Cricetulus griseus: one gene and its partner. The main gene of each other region encodes a partner of the protein of the gene in region 2 in a complex. Links are inferred from orthologs where the notes say so. Each region holds a gene or a part of one and is shown on either strand. Other genes may lie near its edges.

Region 1 (15,752 bases), on a different chromosome or scaffold from region 2:
AGATGGCTTATTGGGTCTTAAGGCCCTTGCTACCAAGCCCAAGGACCTAAGTTCAATCCCTGTGACATTCAGTTTTCCACAGTTAAATCCACATGTGCCATAACATTATCAAACAGATAATCAATATATGTGTCTAGCTAGTAGGACTATGGGAAATTCTCTTTTGTATTTGTTATTTACCAAATACTGTTTTGTCATGGAAATATAGGTAAGCCCTTTTCTATATAACCTAATTTGAGTTGGGTAAAAAATGCCTTTCACTATCTAGTTCTGGCCAGCCTAGAACTCACTATGGAGACTAAGATGGCCTCAATCTCAGAAAGATACAGCCGCCTCTGCCTCCCAATGCTAGGATTAAAGGTAAAATGCACCACCTGACTGGACATGCTAAGATAATCCTATTAAACCAGGACCCCACACATGCCTGGTTATCAAGTCACACACAGAAAGCACTGGTCTAACCCCTCTCTCTCTTCTAAAGCACCTCAACCCCTGTTGATGTGAGCATGCTCTCGAGTGTCTACACTATATGCTACTGAGGAGCACTTAGAACTACCACATGTCAGATACCCTTTAAATTAAAAATAGATCTAAGAAATGACATCAGATACCACCCTGAAAGCCTATAGAGAAATACTTACACATTAGTATGTAGTTGGAAGTCCCCAGTCCTGTAGCCCACTGCAAAGTTACTCCTAGTCAGCTTTGACTTGGCACTGTCAAAGGTCATCTGGTACCCAGCAAGCCAGCCCTCGTAACCAAAGACAGCTGAGCCATGGATGGCAGGTCCAGCAAAATCAAAGTCAACATCACAGCCAAGGTTTATACACTCCCTCTTGTAAGCAGACTTGATTTTACCACTTTTCTTTCTGAAAAAAGGAGAGACTGGTTTGAAACTGATACCAGTGACAAAGTTTATATACCTAGCTCTACCTGGTGAGCATGAGACGGATTTAAACAAGCCACAGTATGACAATTTTAGCGTTAAAAACAACCAAAAAGTTAAAGAAAACAAACCCACATGGGGTGACAGGACTGTCCCATCATAGGAAAAGTGCTTTGTAAAACTAACAGTCGCAAAAGATAGGACACAATTAGCACTAGAAGAGGCCAATTTCTGAAGAAAGTCAATGGTGGCAAGCAGTGTTCAAAAGCAGATAGTGGCCTCCGCAGTGAACTACTGAAAGGGAGGAAGCTGCTTCTCTTCTGAGCAGACAAGACTGCTTCAGGTTCAGTGCCTGTAAAAACATAAGTGCTTACCCTGTGTTTGGTGAAAAGGTAGTATCAAACGTCAGCTTCAAACCTTGGCATATCTATTTTGGGAGAAAAAGAGCATATAAGATTTATGTTCCATTTTATTTCCTTTTTGAAATGCAAAAAGGACACAAAAGCAAGTCTATGAAACACTACCTGATCTTCAATTGCAATCTCTGTCCCCAGAGTGTTATCGGTGTTCCATTTTTCTGTGAAAGTCAGACCATACTCACACCATTTATATTTGGTCTCCAAGGTCCCACTGACTTTACCAGTGTCCGTATTAGATGAACCAGATGTTGAAAATTCCTAAGAAGACAATAAACAACTTCATGAATGTCTGCTAAGCCTGGAACAATCCACTGCCTAACTTATTTGACACTTCTAACTTCACACTGTGCTACTTCCTAAGCAAACTCAACAGTGACAAATTAGCCTGACGGACTGACTGACCTCACTAGAATGCCATCTTACATTTCTAACTAATCAATAAAGATTAAGCGCACGGGGCTGGTGAGATGGCTCACTGGGTTTAACCAAGCCTGACAACCTAACTTCCGTCTCTAAAGCCCACATGGTAGGAAGAGGAGTTGAGTCTTCCAAGCTGTCCTCTCACCTCCACATCTACACCATGACACACACAAGATGTGAAAAATTTTAAGTAAAATCTGGGCTCAACTATCCCAATATTCCTTCTTTTTTCCTTTTTAAAGAATTTTTCATTTGCATATGTATGTGAATGAATATTCAGTGCAGATGTCCTAAAGACCAGAGTCGTCTGACTTCCCTGCCGCTGAAGTTACAGGTGGCTGTGAGCCGTCATGTGGGTGGTTAGGAAGGGCCTCTACAAGAGGGGCACCCACGCTTATGCTGAACCATCTATCTCTCCAGTCCTCCCTCTACTTTTCTGAAATGAGTCTTCACTAGGTTCCATGCCCTTCCAAACAACTTACCTATCTTCTTTTTGCTGTTTGTTGTTGTCTGTCTCAATTATGTGGCCCTGGCTGTCCTTTATAGACCAGGCCGGCCTGATCTGCCTTCCTCTGCCTCCCTAGTGCTGGGATTAAAGGTGTGTGTTGCCACACCTCACCCAACTCACAGTATTTTCGTGGGACAGGAGAGATGGCTCTCAGTAGTTAAGAGGAGCTGTTCCTCTTGCAGAGGACTCAGGTTTGATTGCTAGCACCCACAAGGCAACTAACAGTCTGTAACTCCAATTCAGAGTATCCACCACCCTCTTCTGGCCTCTGTGGGTACTGCACACACATGGTACAGATACGCATGCAGGCAAAAAAACAACCATACACATAAAATAAAAATAAGTTTTTTAGCCTGGCAGTGGTGGTGCATGCCTTTAATTCCAGCACTCAGGAGGCAGAGACAGGCGGATCTCTGTGAGTTCAAGGCCAGCCTGGTCTACTGAGCAAGTTCCCGGACAGCCTCCAAAGCTACAGAGAAACCCTGTCTCAAAAAAAGAGGAAAAAAAAGTGGAGTAGGGGAGCTTCTTGGGTTTTATCATAAATAATATAAACTATGTGTCAGCAGGAAAAAAAAAAAAAAAAAAAAAAAACAGAATTAATTCGGAAGTACTATAGAAAGCTTAGCCTTGAACCGGAAAAGCAGCCAGTGAGTAAACACACTTGCTGCTCTTACAGAGGACCCAAATTTGGTTCCCAGCATCCACATGGCAAGTTATAACCATCTATAACTCCAGTTCTAGGAAAACTGACACCACAGGCACCAGGCAAACAGACATACAGGCAAACACTCATACATGTGAAATAAAAACATCTTTAATTAAAAATAAATCTTTAAGAAAAGTTTTAATCATGGATTTGTATAGAATATATCTGCCAATCCCTTGTGGTAAAAAGGGAGCACAGAGGATCTGTCTTTATGAAGCACTCACTGCATGTGAGGGACGTGTCCCAAGATAAAATGTAACCTTCCAGAAGCCTGTCAAGAGTTCTGACCTAGGGTTTCTGTATCAGTGTCTCCATACCTAGTCACTGGAAAGCCATGTCTAAAATTGATGTAAATTTTGTTTTAAGTTTATCAGAAGTTATGATACCTGCAGAGTTAAAATCAGAAACTGCCAAGCTCCAGCTACTACCACCCATCAGTCCCTGAGATCAAGGGCTAGTCTAATGAATGCCAACAAATACCCAAGAAACAAGGTCAGTATTAGTCTGTAGGTCAAACTGGAACAGATGAAACCAACAATAAAGCAATTCACTCCATCACTATGAACTTCTTCTACATTTTGGGGTAGCCTGAACATCTCTGCAATTCAAGAAAGAAAAGGGCCACTGGGTGGTGGTGGTGGTGGTGGTGGTGGTGGTGGTGGTGGTGGTAGTGGTGCACACTGTTAATCCCAGCACTAGGGAGGCAGGAGGAAAAAAAGGATGTTTTGCTTATAAATCTATAAATCTAGTGCTCAATACAGTTCTCCAATTGTTCTCAGCTTAAAGTTTGTCTTTGTAACTAGAAGGGGGTGTTTTGTTTGTTTTCCGCACTGGACCTCATACACAACTGGGTAAGCCTTTTACCACTAAGTTATACTCCCAGTCTAAAAGTAAGCTTTTTAAAAACAAGGATGGGGTACTTATTTTAATGTAACACACCTGCACAAACATATTTAAAACCTGGTAGGATGAAAATAGAGATTAGTAGTAGAACTACAAGGCTCTAGTTTCAATCTCCAGCAATCAGCTAACTAATATTCTGTAAACTCTTAACCCAGCCAAGTCAACCATCACCAAATATTTAGCTTCTTTGCAAACCAAGGAAACCACAGGACAGAACAATATAAAACCCCATAAATGCAACAGGTCTGACCATTAAGAATCCCTACCAGGAACAACTTTAATACTAGTTATATTCAGAACATGCATTTATCACAGTGCCCAATAATCATAGTTTAGCATGTACACAATACAACCATCTCTGAATCTCAAAACAAAAATTATTAGAGAAAGAAAAAAAAGCATACAATATTTTACTTTATCCCTTGTTTCAACAACTGGGGAGGATAAACGCATAAGCAATATTCAGGTCAGGACAGAGGTATGTAGACATCTCCATGGATGACTGTTAGAATATAGCCATTATATTAAATGACCAGTATGGTCAAATAAACAAGTTACTATTAAGCCCAGAATACCTTGGCAGGTATTAGGAGAAAGTTACAAGGGCGTGGATTATAAGCTTCTGGCCTTCAAGCTTGTAATCTACCTGAGTAAATAGTCCCAAATAACCAATGTCTTTCCCCACTTCTTTGTACAATCATAGTAACACACACACACACACACACACACACACACACACACAAATATAACAAAACTACATGAAAAGCAGAAATATCCAAAGCTAATAAATCAGATTACATGCAAATCACTCAAAACAAATTAACTTCTGCCTCCTTAAGGCAAAACAACTATAGACATTTATAGGCTAAGAAATTAGGGGCTGGAGAGATGGCTCAGAGGTTAAGAGCATTGACTACTCTTCCAGAGGACCCTGGTTCAAACCCCCAGCAAATACATGGTGGCTCACAACCATAATGAGACCCAATGCCCTCTTCTGGCTTGTAGGCATACATGAAGACAGAACATTCTATACATTAAATAAATAAATCTTAAAATAAAATTAAAAGAGTTACAAGAACTTATTAGACACTTACCACACCGCTGCATGACTTTGTTTTCACATCCAGCTTTACCAACCCAAAGCCTTCAAAGAATAGAGAGCAAAGACATGACTATTCTGCAGATATATACCCATTATTCATGTTACATTTAAAATAATTCAAATGTCCAGAGGAACAAAAATGTACCGATGCCTAGCACCTGCAAGGCACTTAAAAGCAGTCAGCTGCCCAGCATGCTGGCAGGAAATTGGCTCCACTTCCTGACACACCCTTTCCAAGACACTTTTTAAATGTTAGAGACTAGAAAAATCGACAATGTCTTTAATCCCAGCACAGGGGAGGTAGAGACAGGTGGATCTCTGTGAATTTGAGGCCAGCCTGGTCTACAGAGCCAAGTTCCAGGACAGGGTCCAAAAAGTCCTGTCTGGGAAGGAAAAAAAAAAATCACTTCCGCAGAATAGCCTATTGTTGATGACTACACCTTAAGGACATTTATCCCAAAGGAGTGGGAGAAGGGGTATGTGCAACACAACCTTCAAGAAAACTCAAACTCACTCAAAAAGCCCACAACCCCTTAAGGTTTCAGTTCCACCAGGAGCCACAGACACAAAACTAAAAGAGTAATTCAGGGCAGCTCTACTCAACCAAGGCCTGCTCAGTCACCAAAGAGAATAAAAGTACAAGCTTCTTGCAGGATAGTGCACACCTTTAATCCCAGCACTTGGGAGGCAGATCTCAGTGAGTTCGAGGCCAGCCTGGTCTATAAATTGAGGTCCAGGACAGTCAGGACTGTTACATAGAGAAACCCTATCTGGAAAAAACAAACAAACAAAAAAAAAAAGCAAAAACAAAAAACCCAGAACCCAAAAGTACAAGCTTTTCCCTTAAAAGGTTAGAATTCATAAACTTGGGCCTGAACAAAAGCTGGGGTACAGTGGAGCAGTCTAACATAAAATGCATCTGGCAGAAACATTAAACCAGCAGGATATTCAGTCTGGAAAAGCAAGTCAATGTCCTAAAGGGATGCAAGCATACATTTTCTCTTTTAAGCTAAAATTAAAAGAAAAGTCCTTACCAAATCCTTTGTTGAAAATATCTCTGGCAGCTTTGCCAAGGTCAGCATAGCATGGAGGGATACACATTGCTAGTAAAAAGAAACATTCTATAGTTAACATGACTGGACTATGACCTACTGCTAATATTTACATTCAAGCAGACCAATGAGAACTATACCACTTTACTCTTAACAGCCATCTGTAACAACAGTTTACTTTCTAAATAGCTATGTGGTAATATAAACCTGCGACAGTTCCCCAGTTTGGTTTTATAGGGTAGGGCAAGCCTATCTAATTCCTAAACTTAAAAGTCTACAGCCTTGCTCGAAACACTAGTACAAGTGTACACACACTTGCCAGAATTCAAGTGGACTGACTGATTTAACTAAGACAAAAACCAAAATTTAATGTTAGGCATTTTCCCTAGCAAAGCACCTGGTATATCTTCCAAGAACAAAACCAACACTTAACACTCTGGGAACTGACATCTTGAGACATAGGGGAGAGAAATACAACCATCTATGTTTCAGTCAAGTGTCTACAGCAACTAAATATCAAATGGCACTTTAAACACACTAATACGACTCCCAAGTACTCCGCCAATGCAGTGAGGCTTAAGGGCAAGGAATCTGAGCTCCGGCCGCAGCTCATTCATTCTAAAGAGCACATCCACGCCCTTAGGAACACGTGTAATGACCTTGTAGTGCACTCCATCTCTACGGGCAGAGGGAGAACTACTTCCTCTTGCAAAGTGGCCCATCTAATCCTCCAGGGTGAAATTCAACAACTAGTAGTTTTTGTTTTGCTTTCGGGTTGGTAAAACGACACATCCAAAAGCAGAGGGTGGGTACCGCCAAGGACCAACGCCCCAGGCGCGAGCCCCCGATCTGCAACCCAACAGCCCAGCACCCACGTCGGTCAGCAGAGGCGGCGGTACGCTTTAGTGGCCGCACAAAGTGGAGAGAACTTTCCAAGTCCTTGCAAGCATGTGAATCGAGGCGGGACCAGCTATGGTTTTCCAAAGAAGGGCACAGCAGCCCCGCCGAAGACACTTCTAATGATCTACTTACGCCGTGGGCATATCGGTACACAACAGTCCGCCATAGCGAAGCCTCGGGGAAAAGGAGATCTGTAGAAGGGACAAGAAGTGCGATCAGGGGACGGTCAAAGGGCCCAAGGGGGATCTCGGACAGAAGGGAAAGGGGGCCGGGGCCGCTGCGGCCATCTTAGGGGAGCAGAGCCGCCCCGAGTCCGCTGTGGCTGCCGGCCCGGCCTAGGCCCCTGGGATCGGCATGAGGCCAGCGACGTAGTACCTGCGGGTGTCCTGAGGGGCGTTGCCGCCGCCGCCGCCGCTCCGCTCCCAGCCGAGGCCGCTCCGCTACCCAGAGACTGCGCTGCAGCCACCGCGGCTGGAGGGCGAAGTGAAGGAGACACCGTTGCGCCCCGCCGCAAGCCTGGCCTCCCCCAGCCAGGACCCCGCCGCGGCCGCCCGGGCTGTCCGCTGCGCCTGTCCTTGCCGCGCCGCCCGCCACCCACTCGCACCTACTCCGGAGTGGCCACGCGGGTCGAGGGCACGGTGATCCCCCGGGGTGAGCTGTCTCGGACCGTCCAGTGGGGACGGGGCGAGAAGGAGCTGGAGGGCCACGGGTCAGGCAGTGTACGGGGCAGCCCCAGAAGCGAGGGCCGGGGAACGGCGGAGGCGGTGCAACGGCACCCGCGCGGCCAGGAAGGGAGAGGCCACGCGCGTCACGACGGGCGGGGCGATGCGGCCCGCGGGGTCACGTGCACCCCTCCGCCTGCGTGCTGAGTGACCCAGCAAGGGAACGTGCGGGCAGTCACTGCCTCCACAGCGGCTTAAGAGCCCGGGAGGTGCAAGTAGAAGTGAGGTTCGCTGCGCCATCTGCAGCCTCCATCCCCTTCTTACATCGGTTCACCGCCCGCTGCGATGTCATCCTGAGGTGGGGCTGGGCTCCCAGAGGAACAAACTTGAGCCACCTTCAGTGGGCTCTACTCTGAGAGCCTCGGGCTTGTGCTCCTAAAGCCTCCTTCCCACTCATGTGGATGGCTTCACACTCGTGCAGAAGCCATGCTCCAGTAGGGAGATAAGCTTTCCCTGGTTGAGAGGCCCAGAAAGATACGGGAAGAACTGTAGGGTTCGTGTTGACCAGTCATTAGAATGCTGTTCTCAAATTCTGTGTAAGAAGAATGAGGAAGCTGCCAGCCCTGGTTCATGGGAAGCACAGGAGATTGCCTCCAGTTTGAGGCTAAGCTACAGCACGAGGCAAATAGGGGGAAAAAAAGAAGAAATGCTCAAGCTAATAGAGATAGAAACAGGGCCTTCGGAGAGGGCTCAGTGGGTAAGAACTCTTGCTGGGCAAGCAGGAGGACCTGAGTTCCAATACCCAGTCCCCACATTAAAAGCCAATAGTAGCCCCAGAAAGAGCAACAAGAGGGTCGCTGGGGTTCTTTGCCCACCTGGCCAGCAAACAGTATGCTCTAAGTTCAGTAACAGATTCTGGCTCAAGGGAGTAAGGTGAAGAGCAATAGAGACTATCCAAAATCCTCTGGTCTCAGGCATAAGAGTGAATACCTGTACACAAACATACACCACCTATAAAGAAGATTAGAAATGGACACCACTGAGGCTTCAATTCAATAAAACTCAGGTAATTTAGGCCGTGAACCTCAGTTTCCTCATCTCTAAGGTAATGTTTAACAGTGTTGGTTTTTTTTAAATACCTTATTTAACTTTATGTGCATTGGTATAAGGATACCAGATCCCCTGGAACTGGAGTTAGAGACAGGTGTGAGCTGCCATGTGGGTGCTGGGAATAGAACCTGGGTCCTCTTGAAGAGCAGCCACGGCTCTTAACCACTGAGCCATCTCTAACAGTGTTTAATAGGCATTCAGTTGGACTGACAACAAAGACTCCATACACGTACATGCTCACAACCCAATTATCTCTGAACTCTTCCTCTACTCAAGTTTTCATTCTCCTCCTAACTGGGAAAAGATGGCTAGATGGCCTTTGCCAATCCAGAACCAAGTTTACTAGCAATCTTGCCTGGTCATGGCTGAGGCTGTGTTGTAAAGAGTTAAATGTGAAGAGTCTTTGTGTCTAAGAGATCAGGCTCTAACACCTGATTCATCCCTTCATTCAAGCTCAGGCAGGCTGGTCTGCAATGGACCTGGCCAATAGGAGATATCCTGCCCTCGCTGTTTGATACCTTTGCATACCAAAAGCAGGACTTACTCATATTATGAATTAACATGTAGCCATTTTTGATCTCCAAAGACATCATTTTCTCTGACACAAGTCTGAGGCTTTACTCTGTAAATGTACAGTGTGTGGGCAGTGCTTAATGGTCACTGGAGATAGACATGTGCCTGAGCAAAAAATTGCAGGGGTGGAAAAGAAGTTGATTCCTTCCCAATATTAAAGACACAGCTGACACTCCTATATAAAAGGCAGGTTAGCAAGAAAAATATATAACTCATTTATCATGGATTTATATGATACACAATCCACCAAACTTAAGAACTCAAACACCCAAGATATATTATTGATTTTTTTTTTAGATTATTGATTTTTACGCTAAGGTTGAATGAAGCATGGATAGGCATATAAAAATATACATGAACAAGCCAGGCGGTGGTGTCGCACACCTTTAGTCCCAGCACTCGGGAGGCAGAGGCGTGCGGATCTCTGTCAGTTCGAGACTAGCCTGGTCCACAAGAGGTAGTTCCAGGACAGCCTCCAAAGCCACAGAAAAACCCTGTCTCAGGAAAAAAAAAAAAAAAAGAAAAAAGAAAGAAAGAAAAAAAGAAATATACATGATCAAATAGAGTATAATCTAACAGAATGAGTAGGTATCCCAAAATGCCTGTCCGGGTGCCCCCTCCCCTAACTATGGAGACAGAACCTTTCTAAGAAGGAAGGGCTTGGTTTTGTCAGTATATTGCTGGGAATTGAACTAATGTTTAGACCAGCCCTCTACCACCCCTTTTTTAACCCTACAAAACCAGGTCTCTCACTAAGTTGCCAAGGCAATCCTTGAGCTTGCCGTCTTCCTGCTTCAGCCTCCCAAGGAGCTGAAATTATAGGCCGTACCACCAGGCCCCACTTGCATGGAGGTCTTGAACTGGGAAAATGGCTGAATAAAGTCCTTGCTGTGTAAATGTTAGTATCAAGGCTTCGGATCTCTAGAACCACATAAAAGATGGGCAGTTCACCTATAACCCCATCACTCAGGAGGCAGACATGGGATCCCTGGGACAAGATAGCTAGTTAAACTAGATTAAATTGGCAAGCTCTGGATTTAGCAAGAGACTCTGGTTCAGTAAATTAGAGAACCATCCATGAAGAAACATGCATGTGTACACATTTGTACATGCACCCACATGCAAAAAGTATGTATATCTGCCATGTCCATTGCAGCTTTGGTCCAAGAACTCTGGCTAGGGGCAGTGAAGGAATAAAGAAAGAACACATGTACAGTGAAGCTGGGACCAGGTGGGTTTCCCTAATTGCTACCACTGCAAACCTGTAATCTCAGCGTGGTTATTAGGCACAGCATAGGGGCAGGGATTAGCCAGTCTTGGCAGGAGGTGTCTGTAGACAGTGGTCTCAAGCTATAGACATCTGGGAAGAGGAGGGTGCAGTTGCTAGTTTTCACACTGGTCAACCTTTCATAAACATTCATACCTCCCAAGGGAGGCTTTGCCACTCCTCTTCAGCTTGTTCCACATGGGTAGCAGTTTTGCCAATTGTCCCATGGTGTTATAGACTTAGAGAAAGGAAGGGATAAAGGGAAAGAAAGAGAAGGACATGGACAAAACCAGAGGGCATAAGGTTCACTGTGAATCCACTGTGAAGTCCACCGGTTGACTGAGGCAAGGACATTGGTGTGGGCTGCACTGTCACATCCCACACAACAGTAGGACTAGCACATTTTGTTGGCAAAGATGCTGGAGTCACTTGGGTGTTGTAGGATAGATAGTGGAGAGGACAACTCTGAATCAGGCTCCAAAGTCCTCTGTGACTAAAACGGAGTGATTGCAAATGAGTCATAAAGGATAATAAGACTTGGGATATGGTCCAGTGGAAAGGTATTGCCTGGTGTGTGTAAGATCTGGGGTTTAGCCCCCAGCACCGCATACAAAAAGAAAACAAGTCTATCTGATGGCATAAACCTCAATCTTTTTTTGTTGTTTGGTTTTTGGTTTTTGGTTTTTCGAGACAGGGCTTCTCTGTAGCTTTGAAGGCTGTCCTGGAACTTGCTCTGTAGACCAGGCTGGCCTCAAACCCACTGAGATCCGACTGCCTTTGCCTCCCGAGGGCTGGGATTAAAGGTGTGTGCCACCACTGACCAGCCATAGACCTCAATCTTGTATGACTGTGTGTGAGGAAAGCAACAGCCAAGCTGGGTGTGGCAGAATGAGAGACTGGGTAACCTTTCCAGGAAAGAGAAGGAAAGCATTCAGTGGAGCCACAGAAGACTCGGGGAGTTTCTTTACAGCCACCCTGGGGGTTTTAGAGAGCACAATGTGATGGGGTAGCAGGGAGCCCAGAGTAGTTCAAACTAAGAAAGAGAGTGAGTGCACAGACAGGGTAGAAAGCCAGGAAGAGCAGAAATGTACCCATGGACTGGTATTTGGGTATCTTTGGGGAAGTTAGCACCCACAGCCCCCTGTGAAGGATACCCTGGAATTAACTGGTCTCCAAGGTTAAGCCAGTACATGTGATAACCATTCCTACTGTGCATGAAGAACAGTGTGCGTGGGTTTCTCGGGGTGCCATTTATAGCCACACTGCATCATGAAAAACACTGATCTAGACATTAACATCCCAGAAGTAAATTAGGGAAAGACAGCGTTCTTCAATTTTCCAGATCACAACAGAGTTGGGCCCTCTCTAGCTTAATCTAGTTGGTGATAATTAGGGCAGTCGGTGGACTTACATCTTAACAGGGCATAACATGCAAGCTTCACATAGCTGCTTCCAACTCTGCTACTCTGGGTTGGCACGAAGCCCAATGAGAGAAGACTTTGTTATTCACATCTAGTCAGAAACCTGGAACACTGGCAACGTTATTATTGTTTAAATTTGCTATTTATTCTTGTTCTTTTGTTTTGTTTTTCCATACAGGGTTTCTCTTTGCAGCTCTGACTGTCCTGGAACTCACTCTGTAGACCAGGCTAGCCTTAAATTCACAGATCCACCTGCCTCTGCCTCCCCAGTGCTGGGATTAAAGGCCTGTGCCACCACTGCCCAGCTTAATTTGCTATTTTTAACAAATTTTACTTTGTATTTTTGATATATATGAGTGTTTTGCCTGAATGTGTACCATGTGACTATCTGGTGCCCACAGAGGCCCGAAGAGGTCATCAGAGCCCCTGGAACTGGAGTTACACCTGTGGGTGCTGGGAACTGAACCCAGTCTTCTTCCTTCAAGAACAACAAGTGTTCTTTTTTTTCCCCCCAAGACAGAGTGGGCTTACACCACCACTGCCCAGCAACACAAGTGTTCTTAACCACTGTGCCATCTTGGCCTGGTGCTAATAACCTGTGCCTTTAGTCCCAGCACTTGGGAGGCAGAGGTAGGCAGTTTGAGGCTAGCCTGGTCTACAGAGTGAGTTCCAGGACAGCTACAGAGTGAGGCCCTGCCTCCAAAAGGAAATGAAAAAAAAAAAAAAAAACTGAAAACAAAACCACTGAGCAATCTCTCTAGGGCCCCAAGCTCAAGTTTTTAGTGCATTACACCCCCAGTCCAGACAATACATTTTAACACTTTAAAATCTTCAAGTTATAAAATATCAAACTTTTAATAATATGTAAGTTTTTTTCAATTAAAATTTACCTATATTGGGGTTGGAGAGATGTCTCAGAGGTTAAGAGCACTGACTGCTCTTCCAGAGGTTCTGAGTTTGGTTCCCAGCAACCACATGGTGGCTCACAACCATCCCTTATGAGATCTGGTGCCCTCTTCTGGTGTGCAGATATACATGGAAGCAGAATGTTGCATACATAATAAATAAATAAAATCTTTTAAAAATTTTACCTATATTGATGTTTTCTTTTCTTTTCTTTTTTCCTTTTTTGGTTTTTTGAGACAGGGTTTCTCTGTAGCTCTGGGATGGGAAGCAGAGTTTGAGCTCAACTCTGGTATAGCCAAGGACAGCAGCTCTTAACCACCAGGAACACTGCTGCCCATTCCAAGTCTTCCCTACTGAGGGAGATTGATACTACAACAACAACAACAAAAAAAGAAGTCAACTGCTTTAGGCCTGCCATGGCTTTTGTCCACTGACAGATGGCTGCCTTCCTAACTTGTAAGTTTTGGATGAGGGCCTGCACCTCCACAAAAGCTAAACAGGTGATCAGGAGCTGGCTTCATGGGGTCACTGCTAGAGACTGTCTTATGACTTTCACCCCATGCCTTTCTGTATCTACTGTGTGGCTGCCCTGTGTCTCTAGAGTTGGTGTGGGAGGCAGTGGAAGGAAGATGAGAGAGAATTCTGGGCCCCGGGAAGTCACAAGGGCAATTTGGCAGGCTGCCTGGACACTCCATACAGAGCGAAACAGAGGAGGAAGCAGAGGGACAATGGGCCATTATTTCTAGCTGTGGGAGGTTGATCAGTTGGTACAGGGTGACCTGCCATCCCTCCCACTAGCCTGCATTGAGTTTTGGTTGAGAGCAGCTAGATATCAAAAGGTTCCCTTCGCGCCCTATGCCTGGAGCAAAGGGTGGAGGGCTGTAAGGACTGACAGGAGTGACTCAGAAAAGAGACTGCCCTCTTCTCCAGTCTGCACTGCACACTGCTTTGGGATGAACATACTCTGAGCGTGTGACTCTGCCTCAGAACTTCACCACCAAGCAATCCACATACCAGCTGAGTACAGGATATGGGGCCTCTAGGATATGGCCCAAACCTGAGGCCCTAAACCAGCACAGCCTTATCAAATGCAAATTCCATAAGGAATTACTAGAACTTACACACACACAAAAAGAACTAAGATGGATGGATTTGGAAATACATGAGTTAAACCAGCATTAATCCACTTCTTTAAGTAGAACTTCTTAGATCCCTGCTCCTCTGTATGATAAAATAGGTGCAATCCAACCCATTTTCTCGAGAAGGATCTAGAGCACCAGAGTGACACAGAAAGTATGCCAATTGGAAACAGCATCCCCAACATAGCTGTCCTGACATTTAACCAGTTCTGGCTCTATAGTGGTAAAGATGGGCTATTTACATCTACTGTGGTGAGGTGCAGGACCAGTGCTCTAGCTACTGCCCAGGAGGACCCACTGAAAGCCACACAGCTGCTCCCAGCTGAGGACCAAGTAGGACCAGTAGGTGGAACTCTTATAATGGTCCATAATGTTCCATCTTTGCAAAGAACAAGACTTGTCAAACAAGGCACCTTGGCCTAAAGATGCTTTCTCCTAGTTGGCTCCTCTTAGGACTGATCTTCTTGGACCACAATCTGAAGCCTCTCCCCTTTCTCCTTGGTCCTCAAACACATTCCTTCAAAATATCACTTTTTAAAATTTTATCTTATTATTACTTGGGGAAGGCATGTGTCATGAAGCATGTGTAGAGGTCAGAGGGCAACTTTGTGGAGTCAGTTCTCTCCTTCTACCTTAATGTGAGTTAAAGGGGTCAAACTCAGGGAGTTGGGTTTAAATGGCAAGCCCCTGTACCGGATGAGCCATTTCACTGGCCTTCAACACATCTCTCACACATCTTTTTTTTTTTTTAATTTTATTTATTTATTATGTATACAACATTCTGCTTCCATGTATATCTGCACACCAGAAGAGGGCAGCAGATCCCATAAGGGATGGTTGTGAGCCACCATGTGGTTGCTGGGAATTGAACTCAGGACCTCTGGAAGAGCAGTCAGTGCTCTTAACCTCTGAGCCATCTCTCCAGCCCCCTCACACATCTTCTTAACTGCATGTTGGCATCTGCTGCTCAAAGGCCCTGCGCTATCCACCTTGGATATTTATAAAGTCTCTTGGGTCTATTTATAAAGTCTCAAAAGATCCAGCCCAGCTCCTCCTGGAGACACCAGTCACTTTTTTTTTTTTTTTTTTTCGAGACAGGGTTTCTCTGTGTAGCTTTGGAGCCTATCCTGGCACTCACTCTGGAGACCAGGATGGCCTCCAACTCACAGAGATCTGCCTGCATCTGCCTCCTGAGTGCTGGGATTAAAGGAGTGCGCCACCAATGCCCGGCAACCCCAGTCACTTTTAAGGATCCTTGCTTCTGATCTGCACTCTGAGACCTCGCAGTGCAGAGGGTAAGCCACAGACCCTGGAGGAACAGTAGTGCAGGTTTAAATCCTAAGGCTTAAGAGAGCTTCTGATTAGTTGTGTGGTGAAGTGTATAGTGTATGTGACGCCTGCCTCCAAGCATTAAATGAAATGTAAAAGCACTGGGTGCACTGCAGGAACTCAAAGAACAGAACTGCCAGGGTTATTTACAGTTTCGGGTGGGTTTTTCCACTGCCCTTGTCAGACTGTAGACTCTGGAGAGTGGTAAGGGTAAGCTTCATCCTCTTTAACCTCCCTCAAGGGCCTGAGATAAAGGCTTCACTCATAGTGGGTAAACAAATGGATGGATTATTGGGAGGGGGGCTGTCTCAGAGAAGAGGGACAGAGTATCCGTGCCCAGTCTTCCAGTAGTTCAGGGAAATAGAAGCATGGTTGGCCCTTCATATAATCATCAGTTCCACATCCATGGGTTCAAACAACCATATATTGAAAATTAAACTCTTTGGTGC
Region 2 (15,826 bases):
GCAGGTATATGGCTTCTGATGCCTGTTTACTATTCATAGGATGTGATCAGATTTGCTATGTAGGTCACAGAAAAGGTACATTTGCAATAGAGTTCCTTATCAACAAAGAAACATGAGTGTTTAAAATATACAACGACTGGGGCTGTAGCTCAGTTTGTAAAGTGCTTGCTTAGGATTTGTGAAGTCCTGGGTTCTAACCCTTGCACTGCAAAATCAAGGTATAGTAGCATATGCCAGTAATCCTAGCCCTTAAGAGGTACAAGAAACAGGGGCATCTGAAGTTCAAGAGCATTGTCCTTGGTTATAGAGAGGGTTTGAGACCAACCTAGGATACATAAGACCAGTCTCAAAAAAAACAACTAAATGCATATAAAATAAAATCTGCTGTTATTTTCATGTGGAAGTTGGAAGGAGCCTATAAAAGTGATAATTTTGTGTTTCTATTCTTATCTACCACAGTTCCAAAACCTTGCTTCACCATCTTTATCATCCGCACCAGGTCTTTCTTTGGAACACCAGCCCCGAAATAATGACATGGAGACTTTTTTTTTCTCAAGACAGAGTTTCTCAGAGGCTTTGGAGGCTGTCCTGGAACTAGCTCTTGTAGACCACGCTGGTCTTGAACTCAAGAGATCCACCTGCCTCTGCCTCCCCAGTGCTGGGATCAAAGGTGTATACCACCACCGCCTGGCCAAGACTTCTTATTAATTATAAAAGCTTGGCCTTAGCTTAGGTTTATTCCCAACTAGCTCTTATAACTTAAATTAACCTATTTATATTCATCTTCATTCTGGCACATGGCTTATTACCTCTCAATACCATATATCTGACATACCACCAAGAGAGTAAACAGCTCATCTTGTAAAAATGCTTTAGATTTGGGGCTGGATGGATAGCTCAGTAGTTCAGAGTGTATACTTTTCTTCCAGGGGACCTGAGTTTAGTTACCAGCACCCACATTAGGTAGTTCACAGCTGTCTAAAACTACAGCTGCGGAGGGATCCATCACCTGTGGCCTTCAGGGGCACTGCACTTATGTGCACATGCCCATACAAACACATAATTAAAATAAAATGCTTTTAACATTAATTACATTTATTCGTAGCTTTGTGTATTTGTATGTATGTTTGTGTACATGTGTGGTGGTCAGAGGACAACTGTGGGAGTCAGTTCTCTCCTCCCATCATACAGTTCCAGGGATTGAACTCAGGCTGTCAGACTGGGCAACAAGTGTCTTCATCCATTAATCATTTCCCCCAACTCCTAGATAGCCTCTCTTTAGTGTCACAGCTCTGTGATTTAGTGACATGCTTTTTACTTTATAGTCGGGTGCCAGCTATCTGTTTCTGTGAAGTGTGACTGGGACACAGCCATGCGCCCTCATCTGAACAGTCTGACTGCTTTCATGTCACAATTGCTGGCTTGGCACAGGAGAGCCGTGTAGACCCGAAGGTCTGAAATACCAAAGCTAGCCAGTCCTGATGTGTGATTTCTGTGATGGCTTGAGCTGTATGCAGAATTTATGAAGCAATCATGACAGGGCAAAAAAAGTCAAATGTCAGCTGGTCCCCCCCCCCCTTGGAATCAAGCAAACAAATAGTTCAGATTTCTGCACCTGTCTTTCACTCTAAATGTTGGCTCATGTTTGCCAACCTAAGAACTACTGAATATACCAGTTGCAAAGCTATTGCTGTTCCAACAGTAACTGCAAAGGGCGAAGAAAGTGTTTTCTTAATGTTGTACTGTTAGCAATTAAAAGCATTAATTTAGCTGCAGAAGCCCTGTCCCCTTATTAATTAGAAGGAATTAACATTTCTGTTCCCCATTTCCCTCAATGTTCTCAATTTCAAGTTTACAAAAAAGCAAATCTGCTAAGACTGTTTACATACTCCAATTATGTGCAGTCTAAATATTTTCTTTAAAAAAATTACTTATTGCTGGTGGTGTGCACCTTTAACCCCAGCACTGGGTAGGCAGAGGCAGGCGGATCTCTATGAGTTCGAAGCCAGACTGGTCTACAAAGCGAGTTCCAGGACAGGCTCCAAAGCAACAGAGAAACTCTGTCTCGAAAAACCAAAAAAAAAAAAAAAAAAAAAAAAAAAAAATTACTCATTTTATGCTTACGAGTGTTTTGTCTGTATGTCTGTCTGTGCATCACATGTATGCCTTGTGCCCAGAGATGTCATTAGAATGTGACTCCCAGAACAACAGTTACAGAAGGTTGGGACCCACCATGTGGGGCTGAGAATTGAGCCTGGGTCTCCTGTAAGAGCAGTCAATGCTTTTAACCACTGAGCTATCGATCCAGCCCCTAAATATTTTCTAATAAATTAAAATTATTTCAGAACTGTCTGTTCCAAGCACTGAACACTACCAGTATAGCCAGAATTAAAAAAAAACTACTAACAGGCTGGGCACAGAATTGTAACCCCAGCACTTGGAAGACAGAGGTAGCAGAACTCAAAGTCAAGGTACTTCAGGACCATGTAGCAGCAAGGTTGTTTCTTAATAAGCCACTTACTAAAAAACTGAACCATCACATTTTGTTTTCTTTTTCAAGACAGGGTTTCCTTGGCTATCCTGGAACCTGCTCTGTAGACAAGACTGGCCTTGAAGTCTTAGAGATCCACCTACCTCTGCCTCCCAAGTGCTGGGATTAAAGGTGTGTGCCACCACCGCCTGGCCACATCACATTTTCTTATTTCAGCCTGAATATACCCTAGAATCCCCAGTGGCAACCACACTTTATCTTTAGGAAAAGCACACAAACATTAAAAGTCCCCTAAGACTTGGCAAGCTGTTTAAATACCACACTGAAACTTGATCCTAAACTCCTCCATTTGTTAAAAGATACTGACTGGTCAAGGTTATTTTTTGGTAGTAAATGTTTGGTAATGTATTTAAATGATTTTTGTTGTTTGTTTTCAAGTAGCCTAGTTGGCCTCAAACTAAAATCCTTCTAGCTGGGATTATAGGTGGATGCCACCACACTAGCCTACTTAGTGTCTGATAATTCCAAAGTCTGACTACATCAGGATCAGCATGCTACCTCATCATATCCGAAAAAGCAAATGAAATTAGACTAACCATCAATAATTATTGTTACCAAGTGCCAAGTAATAGTGCCAATTATTCCCCCTGACCAGCATTCTACTACCCTAATTCCACAATTGAAAATGAATTCAGAGGTTCAGCTATGGAAAGATGTGCATCTCAAGCCCTGGGGCCAGGACCCAAAGTCAAATCTACTTCTCTTTGGGGCAGTGTTCACAAGCATGGTGTCAAAAACTGCAGGCTTGCAACTAAGGAGTGGATGGAAGTTACTACATACAATACCGACATATATGCTGTCTGGGTAAAGATGGTGGGCTGACCACATGCATAACGTAATATGTCCATTCTTGCCTGAAATTTCATTCCATAACAGTAAGTTTTTATCCAGTTTACGGTTAGAATCTCAAAGGATAGAGGATGAGACAACAATTGTAAACTGGAAAGCAAAAAAAAAAAAAGTTCCATAGTACAGTCTCGGGGAAATGGTAGTTACCAAAACTAAGAACTAGCCAGGGAAGGTTCTCAGATGTGGTCTACACTCTACAGGGCTTAGCAACCCTCTGCCCTGGGCCTCACTGAAGCCCTCCCACATCACTGGACTTCCAGAATCCTAGCAAGGCCTTCATTCTTCACATACAAGTCGGAAGAATGTTCTCTTAGGAATGAACAGCTTAATATAAAATACCTAAAGGTATCAACACAGACTTTCTTGCCTATTAAATACCCAAAAGATCTCCCTTAGGAAGAGCCTAAGGCCATCAAGCCCCACCCACTTAGTCTCTAGCAAAGGCGAAGTGTCTAACATGAAAAACAGACAAAAGCCACTTTAGACAACAGACTATGAAGAACAAAGAAAAGTTACAAAGGTTAGCCAGGCGGTGGTGGCACACGCCTTTAATCCCAGCACTCAGGAGGCAGAGGCAGGGGGATCTCTGTGAGTTCCAGACCAGCCTGGTCTACAAGTTTCAGGACAACCTCCAAAGCCACAGAGAAACCCTGTCTTGGAAACAAACAAACAAACAAAAAACCCCACAAAGGTTGTATGTTATTCTACAAAGAGAAGATGTAAAATAAAGGGAAAGAAACCACCACCACCAAAAAAAAAAAAAAAAAACAAACAAAAAAAAAAAAAAACCCACAAAATTTCTGGGGTTAGGACAGTGCAAAGATCTAATCCTAGCACTGGGGAGGCAGGGGCAGGCAGATCTGAGTTTGAGACCAGCCTTGTCTACATAGTGAGTTCCAGGACAGCCAGGGCTACAGAGAAACCCTGTCTCAATAAAACAAAACAAAACAAAAAACAAACAAACCACAAAACTTATGGGAACTAATGGATGGTATGTTTCAAGTTTTAACACAGTGAATTAAATACACATACTAGAGTGTGTCACTATGGAATAGACTAGTAGGACAACAGATCCTTGTTTTCTCAGAGAGAAAAATTAGGCCTCAAAGAAAGACCAGGAGTCAGAATGGTTTCAGATTTCTTAGCAGACTCAAACCCACAGCCAGAACTCTACATTCAGCAAAGAATCAAAAGTGAGACTAGAAAAAAGCAACTATCAGGTCAGAAAGGCCTAAAAATGTTTACCTTCTATGTCACCAGTCAGAGCTCCACGAAAGCAAACATTAGCAAACAAGAGACCCAATACGGGATAAGAAAAGGTTGTCCCCAAGTTACAGCCATACACAGAGAAGCAAAGTCTCTAGGAAGACTCCCTAGGGAAGAGGAGAGGATGTGATACTTGATCAAACCAATATGATGTCAACTGTTTTTGGTACATGGTGAATGAAAGGTTCCTTTGGTGGAAAGCTCACAGGAAAACTAGGGGTTAAAAGAAAAAAAAAATGTGTAGGAAAAGAAAACCATCAGTCTAACCAAAATCACACTAGGTTGCACACAGGGAGATGTGGTGACAAACATGTATGATGGGTATGAAGAATGAAAAGAAACCCAAGTCCTGGCAATACACCCAGCAGCAAGTGGACAATAACTAAAACAGAAATTATGGCAGCAGCAGCAGCATCTTGTTACCAGGAGACACACTGGTGGAGCTGAAGAGATGGCTCACAGGTTAAGAGCACCGACTGCTCTTCCAGAGGTCCTGAGTTCAATTCCCAGCAACCACATGGTGGCTCACAACCATCTGTTATGAGATCTGGTGCCCTCTTCTGGTGTGCAGATATACATGGAAGCACAATGTTGTATACACAATAAATAAATAAAATCTTTAAAAAAAAAAAAAAAAAAAAAGTGTTCCTGATCTTGCAGAAGGCCCAGCTCCAGCACGGCAGTTCATAACCACCTGTAACTCAAGTTCTAGGGAACCCAATGTCCTCTTCTGGTCTCCATGGGCACCAGGAACACACATGGTACACATACATACATGCAGGCAGACACATATACACAAAATAAAAACAATCTTAAAAAAACACATGTTAAAAAGGCGGGCATGGGCTGAAGAGATGGCTCAAAGGTTAAGAGCACCGACTGCTCTTCCAGAGGTCCTGAGTTCAATTCCCAGCAACCACATGGTGGCTCACAACCATCTGTTATGAGATCTGGTGCCCTCTTCTGATGTACAGATATCCATGGAAGCAGAATGTTGCATACATAATAAATAAATAAATAAATAAATAAAACCTTTTTAAAAAAATACATTTTTCCCACTGTTCATGGAGCTTGTATTTTTAGCATCACGCAGTAAACTGCAGTCCATTAAGACTTTGGCAAAGAAGCATACTGCCACATAGAGTTCAAAAGAAGCAGAAGCAATAGTGGCAGGGTTGCAGGCATCACCAGCAAAAAGCGGGACAAAATAAAAAACGAAAACCCAAGCTTTTTTCATCAGAATGTTTATTAAAAATATAGACTGGTGGTTCTGTGCTTAAATGTCATTGTGGGTGTATGCTGACTTCCATCAAACAGACTCTTCGAAAATACAGAAGTTGTAAACAGAAATGACTGCCAAGACAGTACCATTTCAGAAATAAGCCCCTTAGAGTTTGACATTTCCATCAACACTCACAGAGGTGGCTCTCACAGGCCCAAGGGCACACCAGACCACAAGACATCTTTCTGCACTTCCCAAACAGTTTTATATTTCAGCTATGAAGGTCAGTTCCCAAGGCCCAACTTGTTCTTAACAAGTAGAGTTTTTATGTCCATTTAATCAGTCTTACACCTTTCTGGGCCAATTCATCTGCAGACAGGAGGAGAAACTGTCACCAGGTTCTTCATGCCATGCATCCATGTGATCCCAATCTTCATATGCTGTCCAACTTCTTTAAGATATATGGCGCTGAAAGAAAAACCCCAAATTAGGTTTTATTCTGAGTCCGCAGGCTATACTGCAGAATTATAAAACTGTGTGTAAAAGAAAAAACCTTTATGAAATATGGTTTTAGCAACAACTCCCAAATAGTGATTGAGCCTCTACCAGTACCACAAACCAAAAATATTCACTGCCTGGCAAAGCAGCCCATTCCAGTGCCACTCAATTCACCACCATAAAGTACACCATACTGCATCTTTCTTCCATGGCTATAAGTAACCCCAACAGTTTACTGTGGGGACCTTTGACTTGCTTTGCAGTGCAGGGAGCTGAACCCAGGACCTTCCACAGGCCAGACAAGCACTTTACCAAGGTATACCTCTAGCTCCGGGGAGTTATTTTAACCTAAACAGAACAACAGTCTACAGGAAACAAATGGATATTGGGTTCAATTCTCAATACTGGGCAAACAAACAACTGGAAGAAAGCACAGGGTTTTCTCAGATTCTACCTGTCACTTATGCCCTTCAGAACATACTAGTTACTGTGCTGGTTTGATAAATGATACACAAAGAGCTGTCTGGAATACTAAGTGACATTACTAGAACGGAGAGACAGCCCAGCAGCTAAGCCTGTCATCAATCAGGAGGACCTGGATTCAGGTCCCAGCATCCACATTTGGAAGCTACAATTTGCCTGTTTAACTCTAGTTCCAGGAGTTCCGACATCCCCTTCTGAATTATGCAGATGGATGCAGGCATGTAGCTCACTTACAAGACGAGCGGACAAAAATCTTTGAAGAGTGATAAATTGGTGCACATCAGATACAAAGATCACTAAGCTAATATTCTCTTGGCAGCTCTTCTGTAAGAAAAGGTTAAGAGGATGGAAAAGGTGAAGTAGTGTCAAGAGGCTGCCAGATGAACATATGCCAGTGTTCTGATCTCCAAGAGGCCCTCTCCTGGAGAGGCCAGCAACACAGAGAGAACACAGCACTGAATGAATGAGACCTCCACCTCAGTGAAATCCAGGAGAGGTTAACTCTAAAAATGTTGGTATGTTTCTCAATTACTTGAACCACTCCTGCCTCTACCTGCACAGCAGACAACTATATGCAAACAAGCACAGAACAATGAGAAGGATGTTGTATTGAGAGCGTGAGGGTCAGTCAATTCTGTTCTATCATTAGAGAACTAATTGTTTAAAAAAATATTTGAGGCAGTCGTGGCACACGCTTTTAATCGCAGCACTCAGGAGGCAGAGGCAGACCGATCTCTGTGAGTTCAAGGCCAGCCTGGCCTACAGGGAGGAACCCTGTCTGAACCGCCCCCCCCCCAAATATACTTTGCTATTTATTTTGTATGTATTCTGTGGTGTGTACACGAATTCGTGCATACTTTGGTGCAGATGGTGGAGGTCAGAGTACAATCACTTGGTTCTCTTCTGCCACCAAATGTGGATCCAACTTGGCGGCACATGCCTTAACCCAGTTAACCATCTATTTTCTAATTTGTTAGTCTGTCTTTAACCCTGGTGTGCCCCCTTGAACTCAAGCTGTCACTTGCAAAAGGAACAAAGATCAAGTAAGGAAATTAACTTTTTGTCTACAGACGCCTCTTTTCATCTTTCAGAAAAAGGAAAACCAACTATTTTACTTCAGCCTCTGTACAAATAAACACAAAGAAAGTAAATCTCTTCGGATTTCAAAGGCAAGCACTGAAGGAAAGTGCCTGGTGCCGAGTTAAGAGCTCGGAATTCTAGGTCAGGCTTATTCTGAATCTCCAAATGACCTTGGGTCAGCCACTTCCCAGGGGCCGTTTCTAGGTTGGTCAAACGAGGGTATTGTTCACGGGATAACACCTGAAGGTCCTAATCACAAGCGTCGAGTGAGCAAAGGTGACTTAACCACGCGCCCCCAGCCACCACGTGCACTTGGCACGTTCTTAGGACCCGCAGACCCCCTAGAGGGCACGCAGTTGGGCCGCCCTGGGCAAGCATGCCCCGGTTCTCCCTAGAATGCTCAACTCCAGGCCCCACGACCGCGTGCAGGGGTGGGGTGGACCCGTGGCCTCATGGCCACAGCGCGAAGGACACTCACTGACTCGCAGCAGGGCCACGTAGATGAGGAAGTTCCGAATGGAGGAGATCACATCCTCGCGCATCTTCCGTTTCATCTCCTCGGGATCCAGCTTCGGCGCGAGACCCTCGATCCGGAACATTGCGGCTCTCTCTCCAAAGCCTGCAGGCGCTGCACCCTGCTCTCCTCCAGTGGCCGCCTTCCACCCGAACTCAGGCAGACTCTACTTCCTGTCCCACCCTCGTTTCCGTCGAGTGACGGGAACCTGCAAGGGTCAAACCTCATCCAGCCCTCGTGCATAGGAAGCAGAGAGACCTGAAGGGGGCGGCCTAAGTCTCAAATCGCAAACCTTAGTGGATCCCGATTGTTTCTTAGATAGTCGACCGCGGGGCTGGAACCCAGAGTGCTACCTGTAAAGTTGTTTTATGCTGTCCAATAGAGAGGTGTGTGCATATGTACCACCATAAGTAATAATAGCTAGCTAGCATTTATAGAGTACCCGACAAAGTACTGCGCGAATTGCACATCATAACCTTCATTTCCTAGATTTGAAAATCAAAACGCACCAGCCTGAAAAAAACTTAGTTGCGAATATAGCTCATTTGCCAAAGCGTTTACTTTAGCATGCATGAAGCCCTGTGTTCGAGCCCTAACACCGTATAAGCCTGGTGTGATGGCTGTTTGTTTTCTGTAGTAATAAACACCATCAAAGCAACTTGGGGAGGAAAGGGTTTATTTCACCTAACCTGTTACAGTAAATCATCCAGGGAAGCCAAAGCAGGAATTCAAGCCGGAACCTAGAAGCTGAGACCAAGGAGGGGCGCTCCTCTTGGAGCAGCTTCCTTTCTTAAACAACTCAGGACCACGTGCGGGGTGGCATCGCCCACAGTGGGCTAAGCCCTCCTCCGTCAATTAGTAGCCATGACGATGCCCCTCAAATCTACCAACAAGCCCATCTATCTGGTGGAAGCCATTCCTTAATTGAGGTTTTCTCTTCCCAGGTGACTCTAGTTTGTGTCAGGGTGACCAAACCTAACCAGCACACGGCTGGCAGAATGAGGATCAAGAGTTCAAGGTCAAAGTGGGAAGGTGGCTCACACCTGCACCCTTTAATCTCAGCCCACAGGAGGCAGAGTCACTGCAAATTTGCAGCCAGCTTGAGCTACAAAGTCATTACAAGGACAATCTGTGCTAGATAGGCTGTCTCAAAAAACAAACAACTCCAATATAAACAAACAACAACCCCCACAAACAAACAGTTCAAGGTCACCATCCTCAGCTAGTGCATTTCATACCTACTGATGTCTAGAACTCCAGAGACTGAGGTTTTAACGTTTCCCAAATCGTTTCTGTATCCTCCTTTTTGGAGTTAGCTGACCCTTACATATTCTGATGCAGACCTTGGAATACCACAAGTGTGAGCCCAATTCGATCTGATTAACATTGTACAGATGAGAGGAAACCAAGTGCACCGTTGAGTTCTCAGACATGAAATCAGACAGCTTAATTTTTCACATAATTCAGTGCCACATTGGCTTTTCTTGAGGGCGCACTGCATAGCAACAATGAATTTGGGGTTAAATAAGAACAATCATTTACTATAAGAGCAATTGATAGTGTTAGCATAACTATCTACCTTCCTGATTGACAGCATGTAAGATCCTGGGGTTAGGGAGAAAAAAACCCTTCATCTGCTTATTCAAGCCTTAGTGAACATTTGCATCTATAATTCATACAGTGGACTAGCAGAAGCAGCTCTGGTGTGGGAGGGGCTGATTCCCAAGGAAGAGCTCCAGCCAAGCCCTCCTGAGAGAGTGCCTCAGAAGGAGGAGAGATCATGCTCCACAAGGCCTCCCATTGCCTACATAATCAGGGACAAGTCTCTGGCTGCAACCTCACTTTTTTTGTAGCAAAGGGAAGGCATATGATTCCCTAAAGTTCCCTCCAGTTCTGACAATCTGCATTTTGAATTCTGATTGCATCACTGAGTTTGAAGTGTATGAATGTTGAAATATCATCACTTGTGGTCAGATAGTGTGCTGACTAGATTTTTGTCAGGTTGACACCAGCTTGGGTCATCTGGGAAGATGGAACTTCAAATGAGAAAATGTCTCCATCAGATTGGCCTGTGGGCAAGCCTATGGGGACATTTTCTTGATTAATGATTGATGTGGGAGGGCCCAGCCCACTATGAGCAGTACAATTGATCTTAGGTTGTATTAAAAAGCCAGCTGAACGAGCCAGCAAGCAGCATTCTTCCATGCCATCTGTTTCAGTCCCTGCCTCCAGGTTCCTGCCTTGAATTCCCACCCTGGCTTCCCTTTGTGATGGAGTACAGCTGTAAGCTGAAATAAGGTATTTCTTTCCCAAGTTACTTTTGGTTATGGGATTTACCACATCAATAAAACCAAACTAAAACAGATAATAAAATTGCCAGTTTGTATATTCTCCTAAGTAGGAAAGAATGTTACAACAAGCAGATCTTGCCACACGTGGTGGCTCACACCTTTAATCTCAGCATGTAGAAGGCAGAGACAGGTGGATCTCTGAGTTCGAGACCAGCCTGGTCTACAGAGCCAGTTCCAGGACAGCCAGAGCTACACAGAGAAACTCTTGTCTCTAAAAACAAAAAACCAAACCAAACAAACAAAAATCAATAAGCTTATCCCATCTATCTGAAAAGTGGGGCAAAACATATTTGGAAGGAAATAATTACATAGTTCTAGTAGCTTAGACTGCACTTAGATGTGGAAATACTTTGTTTTTCTTATACTGAGATCTTTTGAGTAGTTTGGGGTCACAGAACAGATTAAATTAGCCAAAAACTATCCTTATTGAAAAAAATTGTAGATTTTTAGACACTTGAATTGTTAAATTAAAGAGGCACCTGTTTATGTCCATGTAGCAAATGTCTGGCCTGCTAAAAGGCAATGTAATTCTTTTCTTCCTTTCTTCCTTCCTTCCTTCCTTCCTTCCTTCCTTCCTTCCTTCCTTTCTTTCTTTCTTTCTTCCTTCCTTCCTTCCTTCTTTCCTTCTTTCCTTCCTTCCTTCCTTCCTTTCTTTCTTTCTCTTTTTTTTCAAGACAGGGTTTCTCTGTGTTAACAACCCTTGTTGTCTTTGAACTCACTCTGTAGACCAGGCTGGCCTTGAACTTATAGAGATCCACCTGCCTTAGATTTATTTACTTTTATTTTATGAGTGTTTTGCCTGCATGGATGTCTGTGCATCCTGTGTGTGCCTGGTGCCCAAGGAGGTCAGAAGAAGGTGTTGAACCTTTAGGAACTGCAGTTACAGATGGTTGTGGGCCTCCTTGTGTGTGCTAGGAGTTGAACTTGGGTCCTCTGCAAAAGCAGCAAATGCTGTTGACGTATGAGGCACCTCTTCAGCCCCAGGGCAGTGTAATTCATATGAAGATTCCTTAGGAAGGTCTGGTGCCTGGAGTGACCGAGCGGTATTAATGGGCTTGTGCAGCCCAGTTTACTAGTCTGGATCAGGTCTAAGGGGATTGTTTCTGTGTCAAGGATGCCCATCCTGGTGAACTTGGACTTTCCTCTTTGCATGGCCTCTCTAATTGTCTTGGAGAACACCCGTAAAAATAAGCTCCCCCTTTTAGGCTTTTAAATAGTGCTTATTTATGTATATCTGTATCTAAATCTATATCTATTAAGCATATAGGTGATGACGTCATCCAATCACAGTGGGTTTAGGTGAGGCAAAATAAAAATATGATGCCTCCAGAGGTCAGTATTAGATGGCGTCATTTCACATCTTCGATTCTTCATTATTTTTCCCTCATCTGGATGCCGAATGCTTTGAGTCACATCTTTGAAGTCTCTTCTAACTCTAAAATGCTGTATTTCCAAGCTCACCATGTTTCCTGTTCTTTCTATATAATGAGCCAAACGCTAAGAGCAAAGGATTTACTGTGATGTGCACTGAAGCGCAAAAATAAAGAAGTATGCATACATAATTTAATATTGATATTTGTGTTCTTTAGTTTGATCACAGAGGAAATAGCAGCTGATGTCATAGCCTGTCTTGTTTTCCATTTAGATCCCAGGAGGGATTTAGGAACCATTTCCTTTGACTCAATTTCCCAGACAGCTCTCATGTAAATGTTTGGAGTGTACAACCAAACTGTAAGAGAATTAAGTGTTTTATATTTCCATCACTGGGGAGGAATTTATATGTGCATGGCCAGAGAGTCACTGATGATTCTTGATTGAGGAATTAACACAATATAAAATCTCAGTGAGCCCGTGCTTTGTGATCTATAGAAAACTATAGACTTAGGGTACTAAACAGTTCAACTTCTCTATTTAACACACAGGGAAACTGTGTCCCAAAGAGGGGCTAGTTAAGGAAAGAGAGACCTAGGTGGGTCTCTGACCTCTAGTTTTGCATTTCCTCCCATCAGATCCTGCTAGAATGAGTACTTTCATTGACAGTTCTCCCCCAAGAGATAAGGACATCTTTGGAGAGCAAGGTTTACCCCACAGCAGGCTGAGGGTAGCACTTTCCACATTCCCACACCCATGATGGCAGCTGATCTGGACTGAGTTATTCTGGACTACATTTCTGTCCTTCCTCATTCCTCAGGGGAGGAGTGCATCCTAGCACTCCCTGGACATTTCCCGGGTGTGGTGGGGACATTCCTTTACTCCTAGTATTAGAAGCTGGAAGGAGGAAGATTAAGAGTTCAAGTTCATCCTCTACTACACAACAAATTTAAGGCTATCCTGGGCTACATGAGACCCCCCCATACCAAAGAAAATCAAAATAATAAAAGTAATCTTGACTTTGAAGTCCACTCAGGATTCAAAACGAATGCCACAGATTTCAGGACAAGGAAGAGAGATCTGGACTTTCAAAGAGTGCTGTGTGTGGTCAGCAAGATGGCTCAGCAGGTAAAGGTGTTTGCTGCCAAGCCTGATGACCCGGGTCCCACATGATGAAAAGACCTCTATACTAGTGCCTTCAACAATAAACAAACAAACAAATGTAATAAAGGATGTTTAAGGAGATTTCTCTGCTCAGGTGTGATGGTGCGCCTCAGGAGGCAGGGGCAGACAGATCTGACAGCAGTGTCTACAGAGTGGGTTCTAGGCCAGCTGGGGCTGTGTAATGAGACCCTGTATCAAACAACAGCAACCAGAAGATTGCTCTGTGATAGATGCTCATACCCTTACCCAATAGATAAGGCATCATATTTCCAGAAATTACTGCCTAGTGAGAGATGCACACCTCCAGGAAGGGGCCCTTTGAAACCTCAAAGAATGAAGAGAGTTTTAATAAACTTCACCTCACTGGTGTCCTCTTTAGAACATTCTGCTCTTGTTTTTGTAGTGAGGCCTTCATCATCTGAATGATTTATAAGCATATAATCCCCTTCCAAGAAGCCTGGAAGCACCTCAAGTGTAAGGAGTGTATTTGGTCATTCTCAAATCCTCTGACCATTGAGGGCATGTGTTTATTGATAAGTATTGAATCCCTGGTTATTGGGCATCCTCTGCTAATGCAATAAGCCAAATCAAACAGAATTAATAAGATGAGATTCAATAAACAGAGCAAGCAGAGCAAAGCAACTCCCAGGTGACTCTTGGGAAGGCAGGAGAGAGAGCAAATAGCAGGTCTATCGACCAGGTCTTAAATACCCTGTAGGCATGGTCTTGAGCAGCTTCAAGGGAGGAGCTGACCATTGGTGGACTTTTCTGAGGGATAGGGCCTGGAATGGGAGGAGTGTGGCCAGCTGCCCAGCTGAACATCCGGGCAGAGTTTAGAATGGGGGAGTGAGACAGCGGAGATTCTCAATGTCTGTATGTAATAAAAACTCACTATCCATTGAGTGAATGAATGAATGAATGAATGACCATGTATGCATTAGGCTGAAAGGAAATAATTCCCAAAAGAAATTTATTCCAAATTGTATTTATTATATTTCTATATAAGGACTTATTTCTTGCAGCTTTGGTAAACTTGGTTTTGTATGGCTAAGGAAAATAGGGGCCCAGTGAGATGGCCCAGTGGGTGAGTGCTTTTGATGCCAAATTTGAGGGTCCTGGGGACCAAATGCATGCCATTAGTCTTGGCAGCAAGTGTTCGTACCCACTGAGCCATATGATAGTCCATTTTTTCATTGCTTGTTTGATACAGGGTCTCACTATACAGTTCTAGCTGGCCTGGAACTTACTAAGTAGACCAGACTGGCTTTGAACTCACAGAGATCTGTCTAACATATTTTTTAATTAAAAAATAAGCCCTATTAGTGCATATTCATCATACAAAGAAATGGGTTTCATAATGACACTTTCATTTAAATATATTATTTACTATTACAGTACTTTCCCCCATTGCTCTCTCCTGTGCCCACAGTCAAACTAGCTCCCTTTGCCCAAATAAAATAGTCCATTTTCTACTTTCATGTCATATGTATGTATCTTTAGAGAGAAGTTTCACATTTGTCTTTCTGAGTCTGTCTTATCTTACTCAACCAGGTGGTCTTTGTTTCCATTCATTCTCTTAAGAGACACCTTCTTCTTTATCGTGAACAACAGTGTGTGTGTGTGTGTGTGTGTGTGTGTGTGTGTGTGTGTGTGTGTGTATTCCACATTTCCTTTATCTAGATATCTGTTGATGGAAAAGCTAGTCACCTGCAGGAGTCAAGAATGACTCCTAGGGCTGGGGAGAGGCCTCAATGAGTACAGTACTTACCTTGAAGCATGGAGGCCTGAGTTCAGACCCCCAGCACCCATATAAAAGATGGGTGTGGTAACACAAGTCTGGAACCCCAGCACTGGGAGGCAGAGAAGAGGGAGGATTCCTGGGGCTTGTTGGCTACTCAGTCTTTCTGAAAGTCTTAAAAAATAAGGTGGAGAGGGCCAGCAGGATGGCCTAGTGACCTGGGTTCTATATCCAGGATCCACATGGTGGAAGCAAGAATTCCTACAAGCTGTTCTCTGAAAATTAAAAAACAAATGTAAGAACAAAAGAGAGCAATAAGACACTCAGTGCTGACATTTGATCTCCACAACTTCTCAGGCATGTATGTATACATAAGTACACATGTATGTATATGTACATACATACATACATATACCACACATATACACATACACATTAAAAACAGTATTATTGGGGCTGGAGAGCTGACTCAGTGGTTAAGATATGTATACATATATGTATGCATATATGTATATACACACTGCATGCTTGTGGTGCAGGCAAAATACCTATACACATAAAAATAAAATGATGAAAATTTAAACTACAGTCTTTAAATTTTATTGTCTTTATTTATCTGTAACAATATAATTATATAAAACCCATATGATGCTCTTATCACTCATTTTTAAACAAAAATACATGTTTATTTATTTAAAAATATGTTTATTCTTATTATATGTGTATGAGTGTCTGGCAG

Evidence for each region.
Region 1: the proteins of Tomm5 (region 2) and Vdac2 are in contact, whole or in part, in a cryo-EM structure (PDB 9EII), measured with the Homo sapiens proteins. The link is inferred for Cricetulus griseus from reciprocal best matches to the Homo sapiens genes TOMM5 and VDAC2. Residues at the interface, in NP_001001790.1 of Homo sapiens: Ile25, Arg29, Leu32, Ile33, Ala36, Arg39, Val40, Phe43, Ile44, Lys47; in NP_001171752.1 of Homo sapiens: Val38, Thr60, Gly63, Asp239, Tyr258, Gln260, Thr261, Leu262, Leu268, Leu270, Val286, Leu288.

What each region holds. Positions count from the first base shown.
Region 1 is NW_023276807.1:199,144,125-199,159,876, forward strand, and holds the start of Vdac2 (voltage-dependent anion-selective channel protein 2), read right to left. Parts: upstream 7,426-15,752; 5' UTR 7,272-7,425; intron 7,088-7,271; 5' UTR 7,063-7,087; coding exon 7,029-7,062; intron 6,048-7,028; coding exon 5,979-6,047; intron 4,987-5,978; coding exon 4,937-4,986; intron 1,564-4,936; coding exon 1,411-1,563; intron 1,314-1,410; coding exon 1,261-1,313; intron 870-1,260; coding exon 642-869; intron 1-641. UniProt on the Homo sapiens protein: Non-selective voltage-gated ion channel that mediates the transport of anions and cations through the mitochondrion outer membrane and plasma membrane.
Region 2 is NC_048595.1:98,338,106-98,353,931, reverse strand, and holds Tomm5 (mitochondrial import receptor subunit TOM5 homolog), read right to left. Parts: upstream 8,637-15,826; 5' UTR 8,549-8,636; coding exon 8,428-8,548; intron 6,357-8,427; coding exon 6,322-6,356; 3' UTR 5,893-6,321; downstream 1-5,892.